2 linked regions of the Diceros bicornis minor genome follow. The protein of the gene in region 1 purifies or fractionates together with the protein of each later gene. This does not show direct contact. Links are inferred from orthologs where the notes say so. Each region holds a gene or a part of one and is shown on either strand. Other genes may lie near its edges.

Evidence for each region.
Region 2: the proteins of CASP10 (region 1) and FASLG purify together in Homo sapiens (co-immunoprecipitation; 3 studies listed by BioGRID and IntAct, with this or other methods). This does not show direct contact. The link is inferred for Diceros bicornis minor from reciprocal best matches to the Homo sapiens genes CASP10 and FASLG.

Annotation. Positions count from the first base shown.
Region 1 is NC_080749.1:79,073,414-79,080,311, forward strand, and holds the start of CASP10 (caspase-10), read left to right. Parts: upstream 1-3,887; 5' UTR 3,888-4,034; intron 4,035-5,307; 5' UTR 5,308-5,314; coding exon 5,315-5,661; intron 5,662-6,898. UniProt on the Homo sapiens protein: Involved in the activation cascade of caspases responsible for apoptosis execution. Recruited to both Fas- and TNFR-1 receptors in a FADD dependent manner. May participate in the granzyme B apoptotic pathways.
Region 2 is NC_080743.1:93,508,491-93,516,034, reverse strand, and holds the start of FASLG (tumor necrosis factor ligand superfamily member 6), read left to right. Parts: upstream 1-4,542; 5' UTR 4,543-4,593; intron 4,594-4,992; 5' UTR 4,993-5,078; coding exon 5,079-5,426; intron 5,427-6,022; coding exon 6,023-6,068; intron 6,069-7,544. UniProt on the Homo sapiens protein: Cytokine that binds to TNFRSF6/FAS, a receptor that transduces the apoptotic signal into cells. Involved in cytotoxic T-cell-mediated apoptosis, natural killer cell-mediated apoptosis and in T-cell development.

The DNA of each region.
Region 1 (6,898 bases):
GAAATTGGTTAAATAAATATGGTACATCCATGGAAGAGAATATCATGTAGCTACTAAACGTTATGTTTTCAAACACCATTTAATGATATGAAAAAAACATATGTATTGTTAAGAGAAAACAGTATAGCTCAATTTTTGGAAAATAATACAAAAAGAGAAAAGTGAAAGGATATATGCTAAAATTTTAACAGTAGTTATAGACTATGAATAACTGTGTTTCTCTATGTTCCAACTTTTCTACACTAAATATTGGAAGTTCTTCCCTTCTTCTTCTTCTCCCCCTCCCCTTCCCCCTCCCCTTCCCCCTCCCCCTCCTCCTCCTCCTCCTCCTCCTCCTTCTTTTGCCACTTTTGTAATAAGAAAAGAGACATGTTAAAATAGATCAGTTTGTAGTAGAGTGAATACAAAACGTGTTGCACTCTACTTGTCTAGCTACAATTTCCTGCTGGTTGACTATCTGGAGATCTCAAGGGTCGGCTTTAGCTCAAGCCATTCCTTGGTCATGTTGGATTTCAGTATTTGGAGATCTGTGCTGGGATCCTTATCTGAAAAAGTCTTCCCGTTCAGAACTTAGCTTCACCGTACTCCCATATACCCGGAATAAAACTGGTTCTGGGAAGGTCTGGAGCGTGGACAGAGGAGGGAGGGAGGGAGGGGCCCTGGAAGGCAGGGACGGGATGGCTAATCCAAAGATTTTAGTACTTCGGACCGGTGGGTGCCGTGAAGCCTCGGGGCGTGAGCTCCTCTCCAGCTGGTACACCCACCTCCACTGTCACTTGTGTTCATTATCTAGTTCATGAGTTTTGTGAAGTCTACTTTTATAGACTTTGAGGGTGGGGAACTTGGACCAGATCCTCGATGTAAGGGAAAGCCAACTCCTGCCACCAACCACCCCCTCCCCAGGGGGAAAGAGAGGCAGGCGAGTATTTCCCCTTTGTCAGTCACCAGGGCAGGAATAGATTCCCACCACTGTAAAAAGCTCTGAAGGTTTTGATTGGCTCTTCGTGTGGGCCCAGTTGACTGCAACCAATCAGGAAAGAGGCTGTAAGAAATGTTTCTTCTTTCCACTGCTACCAACTCCCCATCACCATGCCCTCAGAAGTTGTGTTCTAAATGGAAAGAAGTGTGCAATGCTGAGTACAAAGGACGTAGCACACTGTCTCCCCTTTGTAACTTGGTTCAAGGGTTTCCCTTGAGTGCTAGCAGTACTAGGGTAAAGTTTTTTGACTCGAGATGTCTCTCTTCCACCTCTGCCTTCCAGGCTTAGCTCAATATCTCCTCCTCTAAGGCACCCCCATCTGGGTCCATCCCTTGCTCCTTGGGGCTCCTGTGGCCCTTAGGTGAAGCCCCTCGCAGCATCACCACACCTTGCCCAACAGTTACCAAGATTACCTTAGGTCACGTGGAGTTACAGGCAGCAGAAACCTTGGGATCAGGAGCTGGGATCTGGAATCAGAGACACCTAGTTTTGAGTGCTGAATTCCCGTCTCTTCCTAGCTTTGGGATAATGGCAGGATACTTCGCCTCTCTGAACTTTGATTTCCTCCTCTATTGAATGTGGATAATAGTGCCAACTCTAGACAGTTCATCAGAGAAGAAGGGATCAAGAAATGGCAGTAGTCAGAGTGATTACGGAAGGCAGACACTGTGTTTTATTCACTTTTGCTTTCCAACGGTGCCCAATTCGGAGCTTTACATGTAGGAAGAGCTTGCTAAATATTTAATATTATAGAATGAAGGTTAAAAAAGCTAATGTACTTTATGAAGAGGGTAAGAATTGATAGTTTCACCAGATTGCCTCCCCAAATGGCCCAAGGAAAGAAATAGTTATAATTGAACAACTGAATAGAAGACCCAGACTTAGGGCTTGTCTGTCCCTAGCTTTTAAAAAAAAAAATGTGGTAAAATATACACAACATGAAATGTATCATTTTGTGGGGGAAGAGGGAGAATCCCTCTGCCCCTTTCCTTAAGGTCCTTCTGGCTGGCCAAATAATTAACAAGACAGGTTAGCAGGAGAAAATAATACCAAGTTTAATAACATGTATACATGGGCGAAACCAGGGATGCTGAGTTTCTCAACACAATAGCAGAAATTCTCTTGTTAAATACCATCTTCAGCTAAAGACAAAGGAAGATGTTGGGGGTGAGGGGAGTCAGTTACGGGAGATTACCACTAAAGCACAGTAAACAAGAGTAAGGTTATTATGCATATTTAAGGCCTCACCTTCCACACTGATAAGTTTCTAGAAATGAGGTCATCCCCCCTCTTCCCAATACAGAGAGGGAGATACCTTTACAAATGGAGATTTCCCTTATAAATGTAAATGTTTGGCAACTCCTTGCAGGGCGATCTAGAGAATGTGGCCAGAGAGACAGAATTTTTGATAAGAAATGGGCTTGTTGGTGCCTTTCCTATTGTAACATCTATTTTACATTATATTACAGCCATCAGATAGAAAATCTGTTCCAGGAAGGACTTACTATGTCAAATTCTTCAGGCAGTTAGTTGGGGAGGTCAAATGTCCGTCAGAGAAAACAATCAAGGTAAAGAGATATATTTCAGGGTGGCCAAATCTTGATCTCCCACAATTTCAACCATTTTTAAGTGTACAGTTCGGTGACATTAAGAACATTCACCTTGTTGTGCAACCATCACCACTAGGGTTTGTCTTTTTTGTGTGTGTGTGTGAGGAAGATCAGCCCTGAGCTAACATCAGATGCCAATCCTCCTCTTTTTTTTTTTCTTGCTGAGGAAGATCAGCCCTGAGCTAACATCAGATGCCAAGCCTCCTCTTTTTTTTTTTCTTGCTGAGGAAGATTGGCCCTGAGCTAACATCCATCTTCCTCTACTTTATATGAGATGCTGCCGCAGCATGGCTTGACAAGCGGTGCATCTGTGCACGCCTGGATCCGAACCTGCCAACCGCGAGCCGCTGCAGCGCAGCATGCGCACTTGTGCCACAGGGGGCAGGGCTTGTCTTCCTTCAACACAGAAGTTCTCTGGATAATGCCTCGGATGTGGAAATGGCACTTTAATACATCTGTTAATAAAGCATAAATCTTACTTTTTTTCAGAGATAAAACCTCTTTCTAAGGTTCTGTACTTCTTCCTGGAGCTCTGCACATTTGAATTAGGTGAATTATGGTGTAGTGACTTAGAACTAAACTTGCTGGTTTAAATCTTGGCTTCCCCACTAGCTCACCGCGTGACCTTGGACAAACTACTTAAGCTTCTTTTCACATCCTAAAAGAGGCATTATAGTAAAAGTATTTATCTTAGAGACTTGGGGTGATTCAATGAGTAAATCATGCCTGGCACATGGTAGTTGTGAAAAAGCATTAGGTATTGTTTTTATTATTAGAAATAATGTCTTCCAAGTCTCTTTCCTGCTGGCCTGAATGTGCTGTGAGGGCAGATTTATCAGTTTTGTCTACTGTTAATGGAGTTCCTTGCAAATACCTCCAAACAGCCTTTTGGTCCCACTCCCCCTCCCTTTTTTGCCTTTAAAATGTTTTTTGTTGATTTGCACATGGCCTTATTTGAGAAAGGGTTAAGATGGCTGACCCCTATTTCATGAGCTTTTGGGGTTTTATTTTAAAGTTAAGTGCGTTTGGGGCAGGAGATGGTTAGGAAAATCAGCACTTCCTTTCTTGACCCGGCCCGAGGCTACAGCGCTCAGTGCCTTCCAGGCGTTGTGTAGGAGCTCTGGGCTTCTCCTGGAACATCTCCAGCTCCCCGCTGGGAAAGTTGTGAAACCGCCTTTAGGAGACGCTGTTGGTCAGGGTTATCCTAACCCCAGGGAAGGGGAGGGGAAAAGGCATAGGAGGTATTGATGACGTCAGCAGGAAACTAATACCAAATTACTCAGATCTAGTTTTCGCTTGTAGTCTCAAGTTCTCTTCCCGCGCAAATGGGAGCTTCCTTGGAACTTGGAGCACCCAGAAGTTTCTAATCTCTTTAAAGCTTTGTTTTCAGGCAATTTCCCCAAGAACCATTTACCTCCAGAGGATCGGTGGAATTTGATCTGAAGGTATGTAGTTAACTCTCTCCTGCTGGGTCTCCCTCTCTAGCCTTCTCCTTTGTTCAGGGCAGAGAAACTTGCAAAAACTCTTGTCAGCATCGGCACTGTTTCTGCCTGGATTGATTAGCCGTGCCAGGAAAAATGAAAGTTTAAAAAGCCCCAGGAAGGCTCCAACACAGCCTTTTACCGGCAGGAATATGCTAGTCCGAGAACGGAGTGCAGGCTTGCCAAAGCTGGAGATTGGAATCTTCAGGGAGCTACAAGGCAAATGCGTGATGCGTGAGAATAGGAACATGATTCCAGAAACCAATCATTCGGTTTCTACTCTCACAGGGCGGCTAGAGGGGAGATCTCAAGGATGATCACATTAAAATGGCATTTTTTTTTTAGTTTCTTTTTTCTAACAGTAAAAGTAATATATGTTCATTGCATAAAATTTGAGAAACTCAGACAGGAACCCAGAAGAAAATTCATATTATCTATAATCTTACCACCTAGATAGAATCACTCTTTGTTATTGATGTTTTGTTTCTTGCTATGTTCTCCTTCCTTTAGACAGTAGTTTCTTGTTTCTAAATAGCCAAGACTTGCATGGTGAATATATACCTCAAGTCATTATAGAATGAGTAATATTACATTGAAAAATTTTATCAATTTATTGCTCCTCTGATTAGAATGAAATTGAGTGTAGAAAATACCACAGTTTATGAACTGGTCAGGTGGAAATACCTACTTAGGTCATTTGTGACTTCCTGCATTGATCTGAGCAGCCCTTGTCTAAAACCGTTTCTCTCCGGGGTCTGGGATTGTGGCTTCTGATTATGAGAGACACAGGCCTGCCCCGTTATGGTTAGCAGTGTTATCTTGTTGTCCTTGGGTTGGTAGACACTTCAGAAATACAAGCCCCCAGATGGCTTTATTTCTAAAACGAAAGGCATAAATCTAAGTGCTGTTTCTGCCGTTTGGTGGGAATGAATCGAGAGCTCCAAGCGGGAGAAAGTGTGCTGTGTCATGCTCCCTTTTGACTAGCCCCCACCGGAGAAATCAGGGTAAACTGAGTTCCATAAACTCCAGACCTCCTAAAGGGTTAATGTACAAGTATTGGGGTTGAGTTTTCTGGGCTGTTGGTTTTTGAAGTAAGCTTGCAGTGATTTTTATTTTTCAGCTCTTCTAGCAAAGTCTAATGCCTGGAACAGAGGGAGCCTGAACTGGAGGAGGGCGTGGGAAGCTAGGGTGTTGTGTGTCCTCTCTCTCTAATGCCCCACCTCTCTGTCTCTCACAGGCTGGCCATGACATCTCAACCTCAAAGCCTGAGTTCCAGTATGGATGATAACTGTACAATGAACTTTCGAGGGAAGCTTCTGGCTATTGATTCAAACCTGGGGGATCAAGATGTGGAACGCTTGAAGTTTCTCTGCCGAGACTGTGTCTCCCACAAGAAGCTAGAGAAGTCCAGCTCAGCCTTGCATATTTTTGACCATCTCTTGACAGAGGAGCTGCTGAGTGAGGAAGACTCCTTCTTTCTGGCAGAGCTCCTGTATATCATCAAGCAGAAGTCACTGCTGCGGCACCTCTGCTACACCAAAGAGCAGGTGGAGAGCTTGCTGCCCGCCAGAAGGAGGGTTTCTCTGTTCAGGTGAGGGGGACTGTGGTCAAGACAGGAGGGCTTTCCATTTAGTGTTCGTTCAGGCACTGGGCTTTGGAAGGAGGCTGGGGTTAAGATTTTTTTCTTTTCTTTTATTTATTTATTTTTTTGGTGAGGAAAACTTGCCCTGAGCTAACATCTGTTGCCAATCTTCCCCTATTTTTTGTATGTGGGGTGCTGCCATAGCACGGCCTGTTGAGCGATGTGTATGTCCACGCCCGGGATCCGAACCTGCAAACCCTGGGCTGCCAAAGCAGAGCATGTGAAGTTAACCACTACGCCACTGGGCCAGCCCCAAGATCTTTTTCTTATCTACCTCCTTGGATGATACAGTGATTCTAAACCAGGAGTTCTGGCAGCTTTAGGTGCTAGTGAGATGAGAGGTTGGGAGGTCAGCAGAGCTTCAAAACCCAGCTCAGAGTTTGGGTGGCTTCCCTTTGTTTCGCTCCTCACTTCCTGAGGTTGCCCACAGGCTCCTCCTTCCCAGCCATCCTTCCTCCCGTGAGTCACTGTGTGTCCACCTATACTCAGCGACTTGAGAAGAGAGGCATGCATACTTGGAGCCAAATAAGTGAAATGAAGAAGGAGATGTGTCTCTGGGGTCGGGAGGGACATCGCTTACGCCATGTCCAGTTACGTTTTTGGGTGAAACCCAAAGAGATAAAATACAGGCATCAGGCCTCTCATGGGTCAGACCTTAGACAACACTGTCCTAAATTGTCCGCTGACGTGGTTTCTACATCAGAGAAGCTCACAAGGAGGAGCCTTCGTGTGTTCTCTTATGGCCTGTGCAATGAGAATCCTTCAGGCCGCAACGCTCAAACTGGCTCCCAGAACCTGAGCTACCCTTGGTCAGTGAGGGAATTCTGGAAATCGTTATCTCCACTCTGCTGGTTAAACACCCGAGGAATGGTCTCTGGCATGCAGAGGTGTTAGTGTGTGACGAAATACTCCGTTTTTCTGGTTGTCGATTATGTGACTGTCTAGAAGTTGGGGAGTTTCCTTCCTTTTCAACAGTGGACTTTAGCTGACTGGCACCAGGTCCTCTCTGACAAGGGCTTATAAAGTGAGCTGAATTTCTAGAATGGAGTTGGGGGGAGGGCGTGCCAAAATTGAGTTTTATGCCTTGCTGGTGTGATGCAAAACAACGCTGGACTTGGATCAGAAGGCCTGCCCCTGCTGCTTACTGTGTTATCTTAATTTAAGAGGCCACTTCAAGCTCAAAGTT
Region 2 (7,544 bases), on another chromosome or scaffold:
TTGGGACAATACAAAAAGAAAAGAAAAATAATATAAGGATTGGAAGGGAAGATTAAAAATTATCGTTATAAATATATATTATCCATAATATATATCTATATAGAAAAAAAGCAACAGAAATCAATAGACACACTATCAGAAGTAAAAACAGAGTTCCGCAATTTGCAAGATTCTAGATTATTTATTACAAAATAAGGAGTATTTACCTAAACCAGTAATAGCCATCTGTATTAGCTATCTATTGCTGGATAACAAATGACTCCAAAATGTAGTGGTTTAAAATAACAAATATTTATTACCTCACAATTTCTATGGATCAGGAATTCAAGCTTGGCTTAGCTGGGTGTTATAGACTAAATGTTTGTGTCCCTTCCAAATTCATATGTCAAAACTCTACATTCTAACATGATGGTATTAGAAGATGGGGCCTTTGGGAAGAAATTAGGATTAGATGCAGTCATAAAGGTGGAGCCCTTATGAATGGGATTAGTGCTCTTATGAGAGTCATGAGAGAGCTTGCTTCCTCTCTCTGGTTCCATCATATGAGGATACAATGAGAAGTGCTATCTGCAATATGCAAACCACAGTCTTTTTATAAGTTAGTCTTAGAAGCACTATCTCATCACTTCTGCTATATTCTATTCGTTAGAAGTGAGTCAATAAGTCTAGCCCACACTCAAGAGAAGGCCATTATAAAGGGCATGAATACCAGGAGATAGGGGATCATTAGGTCATCTTATAGACTACTCATCTAAAAATACCACAGAAAATAAGGCACTACTTATAAGCATAACAAAATTACAAAGTATCAAGCAATTTATCTAAGAAAGAATATGTAAACTTGATATATGATAAATATACTGCTGTAATTCAGTGGGGGAAAAGATGGCTCGTGTTGGGAAAACTGGTTCATATGTGGAGAAAAACAAAGATGGACTTATTTCACATCACACACAAACGCGAACTCCAGACAGATTAAAGCCTAAATATGAAATTTGTGGTGGTGTGGGAGAATTTACTTGCAATGTCTAAAAGCAACAATGGATTAATATCTAGGATATAAGGTACGAGGAAACCCTGGGAATCAGCCCAAGAGAAATAAGAAACCCAGTTAAAAGATGGACATGGTGTATGAACAGGAAATATACACAAAAGGGAAAATGTGAAGGTCTAACAAGTATATGACGAGATATTCAACCTCAAAAGAAATCAGAAAAAGGAAAACTAATAGACGAGATACAACTTTATAACCCTAATGCTTGGTAAAAATTAGAAAGATGAATAATACCAAGTAGAGATGAAGACATGGGATAAGATAGTCATGTTGGTGTTGGTGTCAATAGATTCAGCCACTGTGACGAGCAGCCTGGAGGTACTTAGTGACATTAAATGTGTAGGGTACATGTTTGTGAACAGACTCCAGTTAAGAGTGCACTGGGGCCTTTGCTCACCTCTGGGGATGATCAGCTGCTATTTTCATCATGCACCATTCTACGCTCCTGCCCAGTCACGGCTAGAGCTCTGGGCTCCGGCCCACTGAGTTAACTTCCCTGCTAAGACACTGGATGGGTGGGAAGAAATAGGTGGCCCTTTTCCTTACCACTCTGTCCTTTTAAATTCCACAAGACTAACACACTAAACTGGGGAAGCACACTTGAATCCTTTTACTAAAGGGTCAGGACAATTTCTGAAGGGAATTACAATGCTAGAGGGACCATAATTAAAGACAATTTAAAATTTCATCTAATGAAATAGATGAAAGATACTTTAAAAATTCTAACAACTTGCACAAGGAAGTTTCTCTGATTTGGTCCTGCACTTAAATGTGCTCCCAAGTCTCACCCATTATCTTTAAATCTCTGTGACTGGCAATCCTATCCCTCCTCCTGAAAGAAATCGCCAGCTCTGACTCTCTCTCTGCTGTCCATCCTCAAGGAACCTGGTTGCAGAACCAGAGATGCAGGCTCAAGTAAGGGGGATACGGTGAAGATGACCGAAGCTCTTCAACTTGGGTTTTCCATGTGTGGAAGCTGCCAGCCCGCTGGCTCTTTAGTTTATCTGTTCAGTGCATCTCTCGAAGGCGAATATATATATTTTTTTCTTCAGCAATCACAGAGCTTCTAAGAGACACTTTGAAAAGATTATTTCTGCTAATTAACAAGGTGCTGGTAGTACCCCAAATTGTGATAGGTCCCTGTTATTGTCTGCAGTGGTGGTTATTTTTCCATGATCTTGCCAACTTGTGATGTTTGGTGGCATCATCACAGAGCGATTCCAGTGTTTAAAGGTGGCTCTCTTTGTCTCTATTCCAGTTCAGACTCTCCCTGTGATTGGAGGGTCCTGGGTGGGCTGGGGGCAGGTATTAAGATTCTGATTCCTCCTATCACAGAATGAATCAAGAGAAGAAGCAGGGCAGAGAGAGAGACGTGAAAATACAGAATAATTCTTATTAAAAAATGCTGAAAGATTCTGTGGCAGTTTGAGACAGAAAAGCAGGGAGGTCTTAGCCTGAAACAGAGGGCCCTTCAGTCCATCAGTTCACTGCTAGAATCTCTGAGGATGCTGGGTGTCAGGCATCAATTTTGTACTTTCCCCAGAAACCTCTCTCCCGCTCTCCACCTTGTTGTAGCCTTAATGGAAGAAGGTCAATTACATTTGGTCTAGAGATGAATTATATGTGGGAAGATTCACTACATTTACGACAACAACAATAAAGTTTGTTGAGTGCTTGCTTTGATGCTAGAGTCTATTTTAAGCGTATCAAATGCTTTGAGTCATTTAATCCTCACAGGGCTGTCTGAAATAGATACTATTATGATCATGCCCATTTTTATAGAGGAGAAAACTGTGGCACAGAGGAGAGAAAGTGGCCTGTCCAGGTCACAGAGCTAACAAGTGGAAGAACTGGGACTTGACCGCAGGCAGTTTAACTCCAGAACCATCTAATACCCCTAACCATCGCTCAACACTTTCCATCCTCCCCATCCAGGATGTGGGGTATTTTTCCACTTATTTGAATCTTTGCTATTTTCAGTAAAATTTTTATAATTTTAAAAATATGATTCTATATAATTTTTGTTAGAGTATTTTCAGGATATTTTAAGGGTTTTTCTTCTCTTTTCTTTCTTTTTTTGAGAAAGATTGGCCCTGAGCTAACATCTGTTGCCAATCTTCCTCTTTTTATTTTTTTCCTTCCCAAAGCCCCAGTACATAGTTGTATATCCTAGTTGTAGGTTGTTCTAGTTCTTCTATGTGGGATGCCACCTCAGCATGGCTTGATGAGCAGAGAGCAGGTCTGCGCTCAGGATCCGAACCTGTGAACCCCAGGCTGCCAGAAGCGGAGCGTCCCAACTTAACCATTATACCGCTGGGCCGGCCTCCAACTTATGAACTTTAAACTTACCATTTTTCATAACTATGAATAAAACCGTACATGAGTTCAAAAGCACATTAAACCTGCCCACCTCTAAAAGACAGTAAGAACCTTGTGCAGTCATTCTGGTCTCATCTGTCACACTGTCTCGTGAATGGAGAGGGGGATGTGGGCAGAAGTGCCTGGAGAGGAGACAGAGCTCGCTGTTGGGGTCTGGCTGTAAAGAGCCTGTGTGTCGTGCTAAGGTTACATTGGGAGTGGGAATGGAGTGGGGTGGGCAGATGGGTGCGGGGTGGGCAGAATGTGGCAGGAAAAGAAGTTTGATGTTTGGTCCAGTGGAGAGCCGGGATGATAGCCGCAGTAATGCCAAAGCATGGAATAGAAACTAATGGAATTCGAAAAGTAGAGTCCTCCAATAAAGCGGAAAATAGAGATTTATGGGAGGTTTATACGGTTTGTATGGGAGAATGCTTGGGACTGGAGCTGAGCTCTAGGAAGTTATTGGCATATAAATGGTATTTGAAGTCAGAGAAAAGGATGACGTCAGTCCAAGTAGAGTTGCCATCTTTAGTAAAAAGCAAACAAACAAATAGGACAAACAGTTAAATTTGAACTTCAGATAAACAACGAAGACTTTTTTGGTATATTCCATTTAATGTTTAGCGCATAGTTATCCTAAAAATTATTTAATGGTTATCTGAAATTCAAATTTAACTAGGCACCATGTATTTCATCCAACAACCGTAACAGAGGCTGCAAACAGAAATGCCCAGAGGGACCGGGAAGGCCACTTCATGTGGCCGATGGTGTGTGGACCAGTGGAGGGTGATGCAGGCTGGGCAACCTGCAGCACCTATGTCTCATCCATGGGGCAGCTGCTGCCCAGCTCCAGCTGACGGGGTTTGCAGAGATGGCCTTGAGATGTCCAACATTCTAATGTTTCAAAACAGAATAGAAGTATATATATCTTTATTTGGAATATGCCAATTTTAAAAAGGGACAACCAATGAAAAGAAAAAACATCGTGAGGCACAAACAAAGCAGGTCTGTGGGTTCCACAAGGCATACGGGCCACTGGCTTGTAACCTCTGATCTAATCTCTAGAGAGTGGGTGGGGCAGGTTTTTAACCTGTAAATTACAGTGCTGTGCAATGTCAGGGTGAAGAGCACTTCGGCGTGGGGAAGGGGTGGCAGCAGGGGATGATTCCCTCATGCAAAAGGTAAGACGTGGACGCGACTCCTCTGGCCACAACTCCATGGTCTCGCCCCTCAGTGCCTGAACACGCCCCCTCTGGTCACTGTCCCTGTGGCTGGGCAGTGGTCAAAGCCCACAGGGCTGCACCCAGTGCTACCTGCTCTCGCAGGGCCTGAGAAAGACGAGCCTACCCTACCAGCCTTTCAGGTAGCAGGGCACTTTGAAGGCTTTCATCAGAAAATTGTGGGCGGAAACTTCCCGAGGTTCACTCTGAGCTTCTTGAGGCTTCTCAGCTTCAGATGCAGAGTGAGTGGGTGTCTCTCTGAGAAGCAAAAAGAGAGAAAGAGAGAGAACGAGAGAGAGGTGTTTCCCTTGGCTATGGAAACTCTATAAAGAGAGAACCTGCTTCTCTTCTCTCCAACAGTCGGCAACTCCTAGCCACCTGGGCCTCCACAGGATTGAGAAGAAGGAAAATCCTTTGCTGGGGGCTGGCCTGAGTCACTGGCTGCCATGCAGCAGCACCTGAATTACTCGTACCCCCAAATCTACTGGGTGGACAGCAGTGCCAGCTCTCCCTGGGCCTCTCCAGGGTCAGTACTCCCCTGCCCATCCTCTGTGCCAGGAAGGCCAGGGCAAAGGAGACCACCACCACCGCCCCCAACAACACTACCACCACCGCCACCACCACGGCCACCACTGCCTCCACTACCACGGCCACCTCCGAAGAAGAGGAGGGACCACAACACGGGCCTGTGTCTCCTCGTGATGTTTTTCATGGTTCTAGTGGCCCTGGTTGGACTGGGGCTGGGGATGTTTCAGCTCTTCCACCTACAGAAGGAGCTGGCCGAACTCCGAGAGGTGAGCCAGCATGGGCGTGGGGACTGCTGTGCCCTGGAGGCACGGGCGGGAGACAGCTCTGCTGCAGGGGAGGGTGTAGGGCTACCATGGTCCACCGGGACCACGGTCTTGCTTGCAAAGTACTTTTGATCCTTTTTTCTTAGAAATGGATCATCCCAGTCATTCTATTCTATAGGCAGAGAAATGGAGGCTCAAATGAGTGAAAAGAGTATTTTCTATCTGGTAAAGAATAAGGGCCAAAATAGGACTGGCACTTACAGTTCTCCCTTTCTCACTTGGCACGTCAGCCCGCTGAGCCACTGCCTACCTCAGGCTTAGTGATTGAGGAGACAAGGAAGTTTTGAGTCTCGCTTAGAAGTGAATGTGTTCAAATGGCCAAACTAGATTTCCTTGAAAATACCTAAAAATATCAGAACTATTCCAAGTCACAAAACTGAGGCAGGGTGAGGCACAATTGCTTGGCCAAAGTCTAAGGTAGGAGAGATTCTGAGGTACTTAGATTCCCTTTCCAGGGCTTGGTTTATTTGACAATTCTGCCTTCTTTGCTTTAAGAACTTCATATTTATTATACATCTTTTCTTTTTCTCTTTTGCCAGTCTACCAGCCAAAGGCATATACCATCATCTTTGGAGAAGCAAATAGGTGAGTCTTTTTATGCATGTATATTGAGTTTCCAAAGATAGTCTTCAGAGCTGAACCATGTTGATGGAATGCCTTGAATTCGTTCTTGGGCATACGTATACTACAAGAGGTATCCTGGCTAATTCTGAATCTTTGGTCATTTTTGTTCCTTGAGCTGGCCTAAAATATGAAGTGAATTTAATTGTTCAAAATCAGTGTCGCTGAGTACTGCACGCAATTCAAAATAATTTCTGCTTGACTTTGGAAAAAGGCACACGTGTACAACTTTAGATCTTTGTCCCCTGAGCAGCTGGCTCCAGGCCTCTCCCCTTCTTCAGACCTTCTGGTTCCTGTATACAAACCAGTGGCTATAACTCCTCAGTAGAGAGGGGGAGGTCAGGGCAGAGAGATATGTTTCTGGGAAAGGTCCTCTCCTCTTTAAGCTCTCTAAGAGATTACTTAAAAGTCAAGCTTTATTCTAAAAATATTTTATAGGATATATCTAAGCTTTTAAGAAGGGGCAATCAGTCATTCACATTAGGATGGTTCTTTTGCAGTCACTGGAAAGCTTGGGGGAAGACTTTAGCCCTTATTCAAAGGGTAGTCCAGTTTCACCCACAAGGGCAATCATGAGCTACTTTTGCTAATAAAGGAAAATCCTTCCTATGAGATCCAAGACAGGAAGAAGATGAAAATGTTGAACAGTGACCTCACGAAGTTTCAGGATATAGTTTTGGAAATTGTGAACAGATAGATTTAGGATACTCCAGGTCATTAAACTAAGTTCATTGAGCTTTAGATTTGGCAAGTGTTGGAAGAGAGCTTAGAGAGCATCTGGTCCAGTAATCTCATTTTTCGGAAGAGAATCAAAATACCAGACAGATTAGGCGATATGTCCAAGATCACTGGTGTGGAACTGGGGCTAGAAGGAACACAGGCCCCTGATGCCTTGTCACCGACAAGGCTTTCTAGTATATGGACTGGTGCCTCATGAAATAGGGAAACTCTCATCTCTCTATGTTGGCCACGGAATGAGAAACAAAGATGACAAGCAAGATGCCTTTGCAAAGACAATAGGTAAATCTCGCCCTTAGAAACTGGGAAGAAAGCAGAAGGCAGCACTGGTGACCAGTGAGGGGAGCCTGTTCCAATTTCTCAAGATGTGCCTGCTGCAGGTGACTCAAGTCATACGGCCCTAGAATGCAAGCTCTTGTAGAAGCCATCCTTAGGATGCTCTGCTCCCTAGTTCTGGATCCGAGTCCCTATGTGTTAGAAATTTCAGATGTACAAAAGCAGAGTAGAAATATTTGTTAGAAAATAAAGTCCCTGGAAGATTTCTAAAATAAAATAGTCTTGAAAATCAGTGGAATGTGGCTGATGAAACAGGTACCTAATTACTCATCTTTCACCCACTCTCTGGAGTCATTTTAGTAATTAAAAGTCAAGTGAACAGATGAGTCAGGTCTACCTACCACAGTATCTTCTCTAGATCAACCC